2 linked regions of the Arabidopsis thaliana genome follow. The protein of the gene in region 2 interacts with the protein of the main gene of each other region in a pairwise test. Each region holds a gene or a part of one and is shown on either strand. Other genes may lie near its edges.

Region 1 (8,787 bases), on a different chromosome or scaffold from region 2:
TTTTGTTTTTATTAATTTTGTAAACAACAGAGTTTCTGATCTTATAGATGCGTACATACTTTTACTATTCGGAACTAGAATGGTTCAAACTACTGTATATTTAACTAATACAAGTAGTACTCTCTTCTCAATGTCTTTAGTAGCTAAAATGAGTTTAACGAGTGAAGCAGAAATAGTATTAACAATTGAAGTGTACTGCCATGTAACACGGTTTTAGTCGGTGCTGATAAATTTGATATTAAACGACATAAAATTTGTGAGATGATATTTTAAAAGTTGTCAACATCTGTTGCTATTTCTTATATAGTAATGGGCTTTGTCTACTTTTTTGTAGTGAACTTGATTAGTGTCTATAATTGATCTCCAAAGACAAATGATGGTTGACTTCCATTGACACTAATATTTACTTTCAGACATGTGGGGTTCAGTTTATACCTTTACAATTTGGATGTTTGTGAAAAAAAACAAAACTAATATAATAAGTAAAAGATGATATATTATTCTCGAAAGGAGAAAGTCCCCAGACAATCTATTATGCACACACCATTTGAAGAATTAAGTTCGTTTTAATTAATGGATATCAATTAATTGATTGAAACATCATTGGCAAGTTAATTAGTTACTTTTTTCGAAAAGTAAAAAACTGAAAGAATTATTTCATAATCATGCATATATATGAGAAGTGGAGAGTATGAATTATTGCTTCAATTAAATTGTAAGTACTTTCTCATTAGATGTACAAATAGATTGGGGGTTTATGGCAAAAGCTTTTCTAAACCAATCAGAAGAGAAAAGAATAGGGAAATGTCAATGTCACGCCTATGATCTCAGAACACACATACATGCATGTATATAAACATTTAAATTTCCAATACATGTGTGTACTATCTCTGCATTCCCATCGCCCAAATTGCGACAAAAGTGTGGGCTAACCCTAACATTATATACGTTTCTAGTAAAGTATGATCAGACCAACATTTTCAACGTTTCCTTCCTTATAACCAAAAATTATGCACGCCTTAATACTCAAAACTTCCGCCTTTTATATTTGCATCTTTGGTCGACCTTTTACCGATATAACCACCTTTTTTTCTTTGTCAAACACTTATATGACCACTTAAATGTTATTAATTGTGAGGCAATAAATAGTAGCTGATTGCAATATTTCGGAGCTTGATTCTTCATATGTTAAGTTATGCTGAATTTACAAAATAATGTGTTTTTTTCGGTAACCGAATGTTAGGGATTGCACAACCATATGAATAATTGCTTGTGAGATTACGAAATATTAACTAACTTAACCACTTAAATGTTGTTTGGGGGCAGGAAATACTAGTAGCAATAACACGATTGATTTTGCATTACATAATCTAATTCTATGATTCTTCGGATCGATTAGTAACAAATACTAATTAATATTGATATACAAGCTAAGGAGTTATTTTCAATTGGTGGGACAAAACATATATGATATATGCATTGCATCATTTTCGCAAGTAGGTGCATAGATATTTTCTTAGACATCTATACTTGAAATGAGAATGGAATATTATATAAAATCATATGTAGGTTTGAAATTAATTACGTGTGGAGTTTTGCTCGTGGCTTTCACCAATATGGTGTTCCTATATATACGTACATATTCATGGCGCTTTTAAAACTATCATTGAGAAACACTACATTAGTATATTGGCTGTTTCCCTTGTATAATTCTTAGTTAAAAAGAGTTTTCTTATCCAGCAAAAGCAATACAAACTAAAAATAAAATTGTAATCTAGAAAATAGCTAGGAAGATAAATCATATAGTTTCCTTATCCTAATCAATGAAATTCGGATACACATTTGAGAGCGTGCGTAAATTATTAAGTGATAAATGCCAAATATTTTAAAACAACAAAATAACGATTTAAGTTAAACGGAAATATAAAACTAGTATATTGATAAGCAGCCGGTTAACTCGGAAATTTTAACTACAAAAATAGAATTAATTTACTTTCGCTTTCATGGAAAGTCTAGACTTGGATGATTCCAAATATTCAAATGGAGGGGGAAAAAACAATCATATAATTGACTAAAAAGCTAATGATAACCAATCAATAAAAATGGAGCATCATGTTTATCTCTACATATACATACATGATACAAACAAACAAAACAAAGTATGTTTCAATTGAAATTAAATACTAATAATTAAAAAAAAAATTAAAAAAATAGGAAAGGAATTGTATAGAGAAACGAGAAAAAGTAATGGCAGTGGTAATTAAGGAATGACAACAACGGGTGAATGAGGCGACGCTTAATCACTCCCATGCACACGTCCCTTTCTTCCCCCCACCTCTGCCGCCCTCTCTCTCTCCTCTCTTCTCTTCCTCCATTGGGAACTGCGAATTCTATTGTCAAAGCTTTAAAACTTTTTTCACTTAAATTTTTTTTCAAGAGCTTCGTCGTTTCTTAACTTACTTGCAAACACATTACATGTGTCATCACGTGCAACCCCAACCCCAAAGCCTAAGCTCGCGAATCTTCTAATGTATGCCTCAATCTTCCCTTGTTCATACTAGTACTACAATATCTTCTTCCTAAGATTTCAAAATTGATCATGAAGTGGTTTGTAGTTTAGTGGTCATCGCTATATTGATCCAATCTCATATTTTTGTCGAAAGTTTTGTATAGTAGCTATAAATTTGATTCTTTAGTTAGAATTTCTTGTTCTATTTATATAGAAACATAAATGCCTATAGCTATTTTCATATATTAACATGTGCTTTTAATTGTATAGACCAAAATTTAATTGATTGCAAAATTAGGTTTGTAATTGTTTGAGATCAGATAGAAAAAGGTCCATCTTTAAGCGATAATATCCTCAAAACTATTTTGTCATCAGTCTTGTCTCCTTGTGACCACAAGGTCATCTTAGAGGTACAACGGTATAGATGCTTAATGTCTACGTTTTCTAGTAAGGGTGAGACCGCATGGTCAACCGAATTTCTAATATAGGCATTATCAAAAAGAAATCTTATATTGGATGTTGACAACAAAGATTTAATAATAACTCGCATCATTTGACTAATTAAAAATTAAAAAAGATCTAAGTGAGATGTATATTTTTATCAAAAAAAAAGAAGTGATATTTGTAAAGAAATTGTCCAATTCTTTTGTCAATTAATATTATGTTCAAAGTAATTTAACATTTGTTTAATATCTGGATCCACTTGTCAAGATTATGCATTTTGTGATAAATAAAAACAAAGAGTGCGGTATAGTGGTGGTACAATTCAATTGTTATGTGGCAATACAATTTATAAGAATATACGGAAAAGGTATAAAAAAAACTGTTTGTGAAAAAAATGAACTGCTTATTCAAATGGTGTTTAGGGTGTAGTTCCGAAACTTATTAAAAAAACTAATGTATGTTTATTTTATCGATCATAAATTTTATTCGGCCACTTGATTTAATGAAAAATTATATAAATAGTTATTGTCTTATTAAACACCGGCATATTTATTTTTATTTGGTTTGTGTTATCTGTTCTACACCATCCAAACTTATTCCATTTATGTTGCTGGTTCACTACCGCTGACTCTGTTATACTATTCAAAACCTAAAATTGTATATAACCCATTGGAGAATTTCTTTAAAGAATATATGTATCGCTGAATTGAAATGTATAATACACCACATTATATATATACACACAGTATTACCGAATTAATTAACGAAATTAATAGTAGACGACCTAGAGGCTACAATTAGAGCATTTGTTGTTTAATTTTTACCCTCTAATATATTAATATCCCCTTTCCCTTCTCACTCCTTTCACCTCTTCTCTCTCTATATATCTTCCTTTGTGGTATATAATACACAGCAACCCAACAATCAAGAAGATCAGATCATGGTGGGGTTTTTTATTTTCTCCTTATCAAGAATCCTCTGATCAGTCAAATACCCATCAATCAATCAAATCCCCAAACACTCCCAAAAAAAGATCAGCTTCCAATATTTTTCCCCTTCTTACAAAAAAGATGTCTATGTCGTCTATGTCCTCCCCTTCCTCAGCTGTTTGTTCACCGGACCACTTCTCTCCTTCCGACCATCTCTGCTATGTCCAATGCAACTTTTGCCAAACCATCCTTGCGGTACAAAATAACCTCTCTTCAATACTTTCTCTCTCATTTTTTCTCCTCCAACTTCTCATCTTCTTGATCTATACAAGATTAGGGGTTTTTTAAATTCATTGTTTCTTTTGTGTGCTTATAGGTTAATGTTCCTTACACAAGCTTGTTCAAGACCGTAACTGTCCGATGTGGTTGCTGTACCAATCTCCTTTCGGTGAACATGAGATCATATGTCCTCCCAGCTTCTAACCAGCTCCAGCTCCAGCTCGGTCCTCACTCTTACTTCAATCCCCAGGATATTCTGGTACTTAAACAAAATTCAAATACATAATCTTATAGGGTCTCATTTAGCTTATTGGAAGTAATCTCAAGCCTCAAGGATATAAATATTATTGTAGGAGGAGCTGAGAGATGCACCGTCTAACATGAATATGATGATGATGAATCAACATCCTACTATGAATGACATACCATCTTTCATGGATCTTCATCAACAACATGAGATTCCTAAAGCACCACCCGTTAACCGCCGTAAGATACTAATTCTTCTCACTTTTATGATATTAACTTCTATGCTAACCGTGTTTATAATTTGGTTGTGATGATGAATCGCCATTAAGACATGCATAGCTTTTCTTATTTAACTTTCACTGGATCTCGTTCAAACCCTAGCACCATTGAATTAAGTCTAGAAGGAGATTTTTTACCTTTCTTTTCTTTGTATACTAGAAGGAGACATGAGAGATTATGATTTTGTATATTTAAAATATTCATTGATCCATGAACTTTAGTATGTGTTGATTGTCTACATATCCTAGATGGCTTTTAGCGTTGGTAAACATTAAAATAGTGACGATAAAAGAAACGGGGAGATAGATTCATGGATCCCCCGGAAATCTAGCTAAAGAGAAAAAATCTATGTAATATGTTAGAAGATGGGCTTGTCTTTAAAAAAACATGATGAAGTGATGATGGGTTAGAGAGAGAAAGTATTTGTGTGAGAGAGAAAAAAGACAATGAAAGTAGTTTTAATGAGTGTTTGTCTCTTTCTGTCTGAGTTTTTGTTTTTTCGCTTTGTCTTTGCCGTTGAATTTCGCCATTGCCAGCTCCAGAGAAAAGACAGAGAGTCCCATCCGCATATAACCGATTCATCAAGTGAGTCTCTTATTTAATTTTTACAATCATTCATATTCTAACCATAACTGTGTAACATTAATATAATTCCTTGTCACGTTTTTATTTTAGGGAGGAGATCCAACGTATCAAAGCTGGTAATCCTGATATAAGCCACAGAGAAGCCTTTAGTGCTGCTGCCAAGAATGTAAGAACCTTATTTCTCACATCCCAAAAATTTATATTAAACTGTTATCCATTGGTTGAATCAAATTTTAATAATCAAAAGAGTCCTTGATAATCCATATTTATCTCTAGTTCAATAAAAAAATTATTTTTTTAAACGCTGAAAATTCTAGTTAGAAGTGATGCGTTTTAAGTATTCTTTGTTTTCCTTTACTAAAGAATTTAAGCCATTGATACTACTAACATCACAACTTGGTTTAGATTGCCGGCAGAAACTAGGGTTTGATTTTATCTATGCGTATAGTTGCTCTTGTATTAGTTGTATATATATTAAACAGTCATATATGTAGGTATAGCTGAAATTAGGAGTAAAGAATTTTGTCGGGTTATAACACAAGTTGATATGTGTCTTGTACGTATGTTGTTTATGTGTAATGCAGTGGGCCCACTTCCCCCACATACACTTCGGGCTCGTGCCAGACAATCAACCCGTGAAGAAAACCAACATGCCCCAACAGGTAAACCCTAATCTGTCGACATACCTTACATCTTTAATGCATATACTTTTATGTAATATCATATATACAAATATAATTTCAATTGATTTGGATCATATCTTAAACATGTGTGTAGGAGGGAGAGGATAACATGGTGATGAAAGAAGGGTTCTACGCTCCTGCAGCTGCTAACGTTGGTGTGACTCCTTATTAAAGAGATAAATATAATCGACTAAGTATTTGAGGAATTGAAATCCAATTTCTTAGGGTTTATCATGTCCAAAAGTTGTGGTTTCTTTTCCTTTCTTGAACTTATTTATATATATTATAAATATGCATGTGTCTTTTTCTGTTGTTGTAATCAAAAATCTTGCTAATTAATGGGGTTTCTTAAGTTAATTTTCATTTGTAGTTGTATAATTAATTAACTTATCAAAATGTTTTCTTATTATTACTGAAAGCCGAATTTGAAATTTAAATAATCAGACTTTTTTAATAGATTTTTACACCATCGCCATATGTAAAAGAAACTCAAAGGAAATTACAACCACCAATTAATCCAAAGCTTTTTTTCCTCCAGAATGAATATATCACAAAAATTTAACCGAAGAGAAAACAAGAGGGGAATGATCATATTACATTTCAAAATTCAAACTAAACTAAGAATGGAAATATGCACAAGCATTTGCTTCCCGAAAACATGTAAAACGATGTGATTCTGTTCAAATTTCTCCATTCAAAATCTGATTCTTGAGATTGTTGCATATGGTTCAATCTTATTGCTCCCATTAATGGTTTTATAATAGTGATATGGTATAATTAAATAAGAACTGGGGCATGCATCAAACGACAATTGTTGTCAAAATAGAGGGAAATTAAAAGTTAAGATAAATTTATTTCGTAAGATCAAAAATTCAGTGATAGCAATAAGCTAATCTAAAAGTGTATATCAGACTTAAATTTAACTCGTCTTTTTTTCTTTTGGTGCAATATAGAGCGGTGGATATAAGTAGCAAATCAAACAAAAATGACATTAGGATATGAGCAAGCATGATAAATAACAAAAAAAAAACGTTTTGGGTCAAGTGACTATATGTTATCAGGCCTACTAGAATTCGGCCCATTAATATTAATGACGAGTTTCCTTAGCAATCAGTGGGCCTGGTATACAATAATGCGATGATAATAAAATGATTTAAATCCTTCTTTTTTTTTTCTTTTTTTTTTTGGACTAAAAAATGATTTAAATCCTTAGCACCGGATCCCAACGGAAATTGCTTCTCAGAATAGTTTTCTTCAGTCTCCGACTATATTTATTTCATTTTCCGATCATCGTACTATACACTCCCCAACATCGAGTAAACAAGCTTAGTTGTCAATTTACGAGTTCCAAAAGAAGAATCCAACAAAACGCAGTGTTTCGTTACTTCTAGACCCATCTAATTTCTACGTGTTGTATGCAACAATGACGGCTTTACCCTTTCGCTTTCTAATGTGGTCCATGTTGTTCTGGACTTATAGGTCCATATGGGCCTATGTTGGGTTGGATAATAATTAACCAATAAGAGACCACGTAGAGACCCTCTAAACCAAATAGAGGCGTTGAAGCATGAGCACGAATAGAAGAGCGTTATGATTGAATGTCATTTATGGACGAGAGGAGAAATACTAAGAACATAAAATCCATTAACAAGCTCAAGCATTACATCAAACTCAATATTGAGAGAACAAAGGTTCTATCATGAACAAGCTCAAGCATTACATCAAACTCAACAGTGACAGAACAAAGCTTTTTCTCACAAAAACAATAGATAACAGTAGAAACAAACATATAAAAACATAGCAAACCAAAGAGATTTTTCTCTTTTAAAGTCTCAAATCTTCAAGAACATTGGAAACCATGAGGAACTTTCTTGCCACAATAGTTCAACAGCAAGGTTAGATCAATAGGAACATTGAGATTAATCCCCAAGACATTGGCTTTAAGAGCGGTGCAGAGACAAACCGCAGCTTCAAGATTAGCAAGACCTTGAAGAAGTGTACAACAAGGAGTCTTTGGTGGAGAACCAACAACAACGTTAACTAGGCCCAATAAGTCTGCGCAAACACCAAGCTTAAGTGTGTCGGTAGGACAAGTGGGTTTCACGGCAGGAGCCTTCTTAGGCGATTTCGGGGTTTTTGGGGGTTTAGGAGTAGTTGGTGGACATTTTGTGGAGGTTACAAAGGTGAAGAAAAGAAGATTAAGTGTAATAAGAAGAGCTGTAACTGCAAGAGCCTTAGAAGCCATTGTAACGTTTTGTAATGTTTTGGGATGAATGTGAAGGAGAGATATAGGACATGGTTTATATAGAACAAGTTATTACTAATTACATATACCGAGAGATAAAATAGCATGTGAGCGACTTAAGAAAATTAGAGTAAGAAACAAAACTATCCAGCTAGTTGGCTTTTGCAACTTGAGGTCTTGAAATTGATTAGACTATTTTTTAGGAATTGTTAATTTATTTTTCTATCACAGAAAGGGAAAAGACAAGATTTTTGTCTTGTTTGTTTGTGAAAGAAGAGGCTCCACAAACTTTGAGACAGAGTGTCTCTCTGGGTGGTATGCATCAGTTTGATCATAGTTGTGTAGATCCATTATACGTTGTTGATAAGATATTGTTTTACATTGCATTAGTCCCCATTCCTTTAGATTTTTTTATGAATGATAGATCTTTCAGCATCAACCGATTATATTTCCAAATGCAACTGGACAAGATAATCCCAAAAACAAAATTCAAAGAGTCTACATCTCATCATTACTCGTTTCCAATATTTGGTTTGGTCTAGTTTATCCAAATTTGTAAGATACCTTCTAGAGTGGTCCGTTTAGTAT
Region 2 (7,484 bases):
GAGAGTAATTTGAGGCGTAAGTTACTAAAGAAGAGAAAAGGAAATTGAACTTTATTATTTTTGGAGATATCTAGAATATATTATTGGAGTTATCTTATGATATTAAGAATTATCTAATCATTAGGGTAAGGTTAAAGCTTTGTTATATAAGGAGGTATCAATGTTGTGATACAACTTATGAGATTTGAGAGAGATTGAGACTTTAGGTTTTGAGAGAGTTTCTAAAGATAATAAAAGAGAGTTATTATTTTATACTTGTGTTCTTAATCTTTCTTGAATACTAAATGATTAACTATATTTTCTTCCAAATAGAGTCTCCAAAAACTCTCTTAGTCCATAATTTTTCCACCTTGCACAATGAAAGGGATCCATATATTGATATAGAGTAGGTCTTGGTCATCACACTTTTCTAGAGTACCAATTTTTTTTCTTCTTCAAACCTCTTTTCCTTTGATTATCCTGCTGAAAAGAACTTCAATGTTCACCAGAGTACCAATTTTTTTTTATAATATAATTTAACATTACATTAAAAAAAAATGTTTACCGGAGAAGTCTATCTTCAGTATCTCGCTCCTTTTCTAAGATCACATATAACATATTGAGTTGTGGACGACCTAATTCAAAACCGACATTCTCTTCGTTATTTCTTTGTTGTTTCTTCGACTATGTACATTGTTTTCATTATGATTCGAGCATTAGAGATTTTTGAAAAGATAATTTTATTTCTTTTTTAGCATATATATATGTAATTAATCGTGGTGTGGACATTGTGGGTGTTTAGCTGTTTACTTCCCAAAATCGGATGTTTTTGTCAAAGCTATTATTGAACCAACGAACATATAATGTCCTCCTCGACGACAGGCATCTTCGTACACACACAACTATACAAAGGACTAAAATTAACCGGCAACATATATAAATATTAGATGCAAAATATTATTAACTGATACCTTTTTTAACAATGAAATGAAATATACGAGTTCAATTAAATTCAAGTGGTGGTGATACAACAACAACACTAACATAAACAATTATTTACGCGTTTAAAGTTAGTCAAAACATGTAACATAACATCTTAATTTATAATGAGCAAAAAACTCTCTCCATTCAATATAATAAATCATCCGAAAAAATAATATCTTACTTTGATATGTAAATGAAGGGTCTATAACGGTCATATCCCACTAACAAAGAACGATTGAGCTGCGTTACGTGATTTTACCGGCAACTCCAAAAATCTGCAAATTCATACCTCCGAAAAATTAGAAATTTAGTAATTTAAGAATCCATTGGACCATCCTTCACTGGACCTTCAAAACTGTCGGAGAATGTCGTTTTCGGCTTAGTCATTTTCAGCTATGGGGCTTGTGGCCCAAGATTAGAGACGCTTTGCTCTATATATGTAACCAATAATAAAATCCTATTTCATATTTGGTGAGGCTTAACTTATATATATATAAGTCATGTCTTCAGGCAAGTGTAAGTAGGACATGTTTTGGGGCCAAACTGATGAAGATAAATTGAAGGGCTCATCAGGTTGGTTACATTATATATGCATGGTCTGCATGGTACCATGTGTGCTTGTCTAACTTTGTTTTTCTTTGATTTATTTATGGAACTGTGTCACTTTTGGTTCACTATCTGACACTTTTTCTTCTTGATGGATACAAACAAATATTTCTTTCCTCGAATAAATCATGGTTACTGATGAAAAAAAAAGAAAGATATGACAATCACAGACCCTTGTTTAATTCAAATATGTAAGATATGTTTAAGTTTAAACCGGTTTAGGGTTAATTCTAGAGCTAAACAAGCTCAATATCGTGGTTAAGCAGCTTGTTAAGGGAGAGTGTGTGTGTTCTCATTTTTGGGAGTACTTTATTAAAACAATTACCTTCTCTGTTTCAAGAGCCAAGATTGAGCTCGATAGATGATGATGATTTTTTTTTTTATTCAATTCTCTTGTAACTCTCAAAGATCATAGTGAGTGTTCATTTATAGTTTGCTTCGGTTTCTACTTACGATCTTGGCTTGTTCTTGATCTGATTGGTTTGTCGATTAGCTAGTCGAGAGAAGTTCTTGGTTATTTGGTGAATACTGTTTCGACCATTTGTCGAAAACACGCGTGAAGTGATGATAGCAACATCTATGACAAGTTTTGTCTTTTAATGTTTTCTTACATATGGAGCAATGTGATGCCCTTCTAATAATCTCTAACAAAGAGAACCCCATTGGATGCTTTATTAGTTTATTTAACGTTACATGTATTTTGGTATATACTACCAAAGAATTGTATTTGATATTGTGTTTAATTTTTCTTCTAGTACTCTTTTGCTTTTAGTGTCACAATCATCCTACACAGCAACTGTCTTCATAGTTTATTTCTATCTGTTTTGTTCTGTTTAAATGTCTTATTAGCAACTTTTAAACAAATAGAATGATTGTTCTAACTTTTAGGTAACCTAACTTTGAATTATAATATTAATTCCTTTTTCTTGTGACTCTGAAATCAAATCTTCCCACAGATCTCAATATTCACTTTTCTTCTCTTTTTTCCTTTACTCTATACTTTATACGGTTGTTGGATGTCTACTTGAAATCCATTAATGTATAGTTAATAGTTTACAAATCTCAGACTAAAGTAGATATGTGAAAAAGATGTACATTAGATTATCTTTACTAGAAAAAAATATACACAAAATAGTACTAACAATCACATGAAAAAACAGTAAAAAGACACTAAATTCAAGAATCAAGAAAAAGAATCTCAAAGCTTGAGGGACAAGTCAAGTTTCTGCTGCTCTTCATGATGACTTGTACTTAACAACAATCCTTTGTCTCCGTGCCATTGTTCAAGAGTCGGTGACCCTTCTAGAACCCGTCCTGTGTTGCTTGGGCTATCGATGTTATTGGACCGTGAATTTACTGAAGGAGCCATCATCATCATCTGATGATGATGATGATGAAAATTATCCATTGAGGGAAATTTACCTATGGCTGGTTGTTGATCAAATGGAAGTCTTGACCAGTTGATCTGACCATAGTGACCACCAAACCCGTTATAAGAACTTAGCTTGTGGCTTATCGAATGCGCTTGGATCCCTAAAGACCTATGGTTGTTGTACTGTCCGTGGAAAGGAAGTGGAGAGAAACCGTAAGGATGTCCAAAAGCTGAGGCTGACGCTGCCATACGTTGTCCTCTCTTCGCCAACGTTCTCTCTCTCTTGTGTGCGTTTTGGTGACCACCAAGTGCTTGTGAGCTATAGAAAGTTCTTTGACAATAGTTGCATGAGAAAAGCTTTTGTTCTGTGGATGTTGTAGATTCGTTAACGATACTCGTTGTGTCGTCTATGCAGTCGATGAGATTGAGTTCGTGACTAGAATTATGAACGTCTCTTTCTTCGTCTTCGATGCTCTGGTTTAGAGAATCTTGATATGGAAAAGCAGTGGATGAGGAAACTATTGAAGCGTCCATGAGAGCTAAAAAGGGATAGATTTTTTCAGGAGATGATTTTTTTCTTTCTCTTTCTCTGTCTCTTTCTATCAATAATAGCTATGAGAAGAGGTTTATATCAGTGAATGGGAGCAGAAGTAGATGGTATTAGAAAGGAATAGACAAAGGAAACAAAGACCCTACACTAGAACATTTTCTTAGGGTTTTGTAATAAGTGGACCAAAGTACTATGATGAGAGCGATAGGTAGGTTTGGTTTGCTGTCACACCCTTCTCACAAAACACTTTAAAGCTAGTTGATTGGAACTCCACCATCTAAATACCTCTATCTATATATATGACTCTTACCCTTTTTGGCTGCTTCCTCCTTCAATAGTCCAACAAATACATTAAGTGTGTAGAATTTAAATTTCGCTTTGATTCCGGTTCAGATTTATTTGGGTTTCTAGATTTTCAGTTTATGAATGACCAAATATCTAAGTAAACCAAATGAGTACTATACCATTGGTAATCCACAATCCATAATAATTTTTTTTTTGTAGTGCATGTTAAGGAATCCTTTAATATTTTAAGTATGAACATTTTCTAAAAGAAGTTAAGGGATCGAAAAGACAATGGAAAACGAAGCAGTTTCTCAAAATAGTAAGTACATCATGATGAAATGACAGAAGAGAAAGATGACAATAAAAATTGAAAAGGAAGAGTACTGTTCATGGACCATCCAAATTTGTTCAGGTCTGTTTATGTCTACTTTTGTATAACTCCACGAGGTAAGTGACCATTTCTGTCTCCTTTGGCTTCTCGTGTGGTCCTCTCCTTCATCTATTCTTTCTTTTGTCTTCTATTGAGTCAAACCAAAGCTCAAACTAATCACAAAGTAAAAGAACTGGTTATTCGAACTTTGTAATAATAGTTAAGTAAGTATTTCGGGTAAGAATATAGATCGATGATCTTGACAAAGCACCTGGTTAGAACAACTTGGAAACCACTCGTACGTTCATTATTATATTTATCGATTTTACTTTGTATCTTAGTGAGAAATTGTAGACCATGTATATGACTTAAAGAATATTTCGTCTTTATGATGGATCAACCTTTCTCTTGTTGTGTAATCTTAAAGGAAATGATATTTGAAACTTCCACACGCTCTTCTACTTTATCATCTAAAGAGTTTAGTGGATTTGTCAATATGAATTTTGGTTTCCCACTTAATTTCACATCATGACATACAACTAGGTTGCATGACAAAAGTCACTTTCTTCAACCAATTAATACTTTTCTTTTGGAAGCCACATCGGCAAGATCAAACCCACTTAAGCTTTTGATAACAATCTAAACCACATTTCCAAAGTTTTAGTTTAAATTTATTTAGCTAAATTTGAATTACTTTAGCTTGTAATGAAAGAGAAAAGATCTAATGGTTTAAAGTTATGTATATTTGTCGTATGCCAATTGTGACCTAGTTGATGGGTCCAACGTTACATATGGCCGACACAAAAATGGGAAAAAGCTAATTAAGAGTTTTCAGTTTCTAATTAATGGCTAATTATTTTCATAAGAAAACTAATTTTCCTTTAATAAATGTATATGTGAAGTTCTTTCTGAGTTATATGACATCTCCATTTAAGTATACCTTCGTTCTTTGTTTCATCAATCCTCAATACTCAATAGATTGATCATAAAATGTTAGATTAGTGAGTAATGTGAAATCGTGAATTGGGAAATTAAAGTGTATTATGGACTATGGTAGCTTAATGAGTATAACAATTTACCACGTTGTATTTATATGATATAGGTCACATAGTCATCAATCATAGTCAAAAGATACAGATGAGAACATTGGATCTTACTTTAAACAGATGGTGACATGTAGCTATTCATAATTTTCCCTGTATGTAGAGAGATTTGATTCGTCTTTCAAATCTCTTTGTTTGACAAAGCTTTTGTGTATTTTTTAATCTGTCAATGCTATCGGTAAGTAATTAAGTATCATATAGTAAAAGTATTAACCACTAACCGGGTTCATCTAAGTGTTTTTGGGCCTTATTATAATCTAATAGTTAACATGATTAGCTAAATTTATTCAATTCAATAAAAGTTTTCAAAGTGAACGAAAGTTACAAATCTGCAGTGATTATTTTCTAAAAGTGGAATAATTTTATTGGTAAAAAATTACTAAAAACTAATTAACCCAAAATTGACATATTATCAATTGCAGACATAACATTCATCCACTATGGGTTTACTTACCACGTGGAGTTATGCACACTAGTAACCTCTTTGGAATTTTATCCAAAAAAAAAAAAACTCATTGGAATTATTTGATGGCAGATTTATTTCGATGAGAAATGATTGATTGTTTTTAACTGTGGTGTAGCAGTGAATCTGTCATTTGAATTGATATATAGTTTACTTGTTGTTGGTTTCCCACATAAGGTTGTGTATTACATCATTACTAGATCATAACCCGTGCTGTATAGCACGGACATTAATATTGTGTATAAACTAAATTGTATACTTTATTTGAATTACATAAGAAATAGTATAATATAAAAGTGTTGTCATAATATTTTTCAATGTTTTTACTATTTGGATATAATGCTGCATTGGATTGAATTTGTTTAAAAATATTATTTTTATAATAAATACAACATATATAATTTTAAGTAAATGTGTAAAATTTGTATACAAGTTGTTCTAGTAAGAAACATGTTTCCTTTGTATTAAAAGATCTAATTTTTGGCCTAACTTAAAATTAGTTTTTGTATAATGTTTTGGTTATATTTGTGAACCTAATTGGGCCCTATATTAGATTATCTTTGATAGGGCTCACGAAAAAACAGACCCGATAACCAATCCATTATCCGAACCAAAAAACCGGGTTAGAGCGGGTTAGAATTTTAGGAAATTTCCTTATTAGGTAGAGTTTTAGTAAACCCGTGGATATCCGATTGGTCCAGAAATTACCCTTTATCCAAAGAGGGTATTCAAAAACCCAAACATTAATTTAATATCCAAAATATTAATTATATTTAATCGTAATATAATCTAATTATCTAAAATTATAATTATAAATCTAAATATGTCAATTAATTTTGGACCTAAATATCCAAAACAACTAAACTATTCAAAAATTATGTGTTATGTTTGTCAAAATTTAGTAAAATATATTCAAATATAATTAAATTTATTAAAACTTAACAAATCTAAAAGTTTTTTTTGTTTGGAGACCCACTATCTACATACAAAATACCCGTTTCAATTTTTTTGGGTATTTTTAGGGCCTGAAACTTTTTATCCAAACTGACGCAAACCCAAATGGACCCGACCCGAACCAGAACCAAATATTTAGAATTATTCTATTGGGTAGTAAATCATATACCCATTAATCCCAAACCCGAACGGGTTCTACCCGAACGGGTTCTACCCGAACTTGAATAGGTTACTCATATGCCCAGCCCCATTCTCTGATTTAATTATCTAAAAACTCCCAAAAAAACATATGTTTTGCTGTCTACGTTTTATTCGAAAAGTTTTACATCCTCTTCTGCCAAAATCATTTCATGGGACATCCTAAAACCCTTGGAAGAATGATTCCATGAATGAAGAAATCCTAATTTGAATATACCAAGAGGTCTTGAAAGGTTTTAAGTTTTTGATAGGTGTGTATGTGAGAAGGTACAAACATCGTGATGGTAATTTGCTTATTTATAATTTTAACTTGCAGTATACCGCATGTAAGCTTATATTTTAGTTAAACTAAAAACTTTTATTGTAAAGATGATTATAAATATACGATATTATTTTATTTGATTTTAAATGTATAATAAACTACGAGTTGTATATGTTTTGTTGATATTATTTATATTGTTTAGTGTTTAAAATTATACACTTGTATTTTGATTGTTAATTTTAGAGTTTCACCTGTAGTATACCATCTTGTATTAATATCGATCTAAACCCGTCAATTCTAGGATTTTCCAGCTTGTATTAAAAATTGAATCACATCATACACATAAAAAAATCTAATA

Evidence for each region. The genes of interacting proteins can lie anywhere in the genome.
Region 1: the proteins of ZFP3 (region 2) and AFO interact in binary tests that used the Arabidopsis thaliana proteins (3 or more experiments, as listed by UniProt).

The regions. Positions count from the first base shown.
Region 1 is NC_003071.7:18,625,789-18,634,575, reverse strand, and holds AFO (Plant-specific transcription factor YABBY family protein), read left to right. Parts: upstream 1-3,796; 5' UTR 3,797-4,023; coding exon 4,024-4,137; intron 4,138-4,147; exon of another isoform or gene 4,148-4,258; coding exon 4,259-4,420; intron 4,421-4,514; coding exon 4,515-4,647; intron 4,648-5,222; coding exon 5,223-5,271; intron 5,272-5,361; coding exon 5,362-5,437; intron 5,438-5,855; coding exon 5,856-5,933; intron 5,934-6,048; coding exon 6,049-6,126; 3' UTR 6,127-6,324; downstream 6,325-8,787. Other genes in the region: AT2G45180 (Bifunctional inhibitor/lipid-transfer protein/seed storage 2S albumin superfamily protein), read right to left, coding at 7,795-8,199.
Region 2 is NC_003076.8:8,683,515-8,690,998, reverse strand, and holds ZFP3 (zinc finger protein 3), read right to left. Parts: upstream 3,812-7,484; 5' UTR 3,476-3,811; coding exon 2,768-3,475; 3' UTR 2,584-2,767; downstream 1-2,583. UniProt on the Arabidopsis thaliana protein: Acts as a negative regulator of abscisic acid (ABA) signaling during germination and early seedling development. Involved in the regulation of vegetative development and fertility. Modulates red light signaling in seedling photomorphogenesis.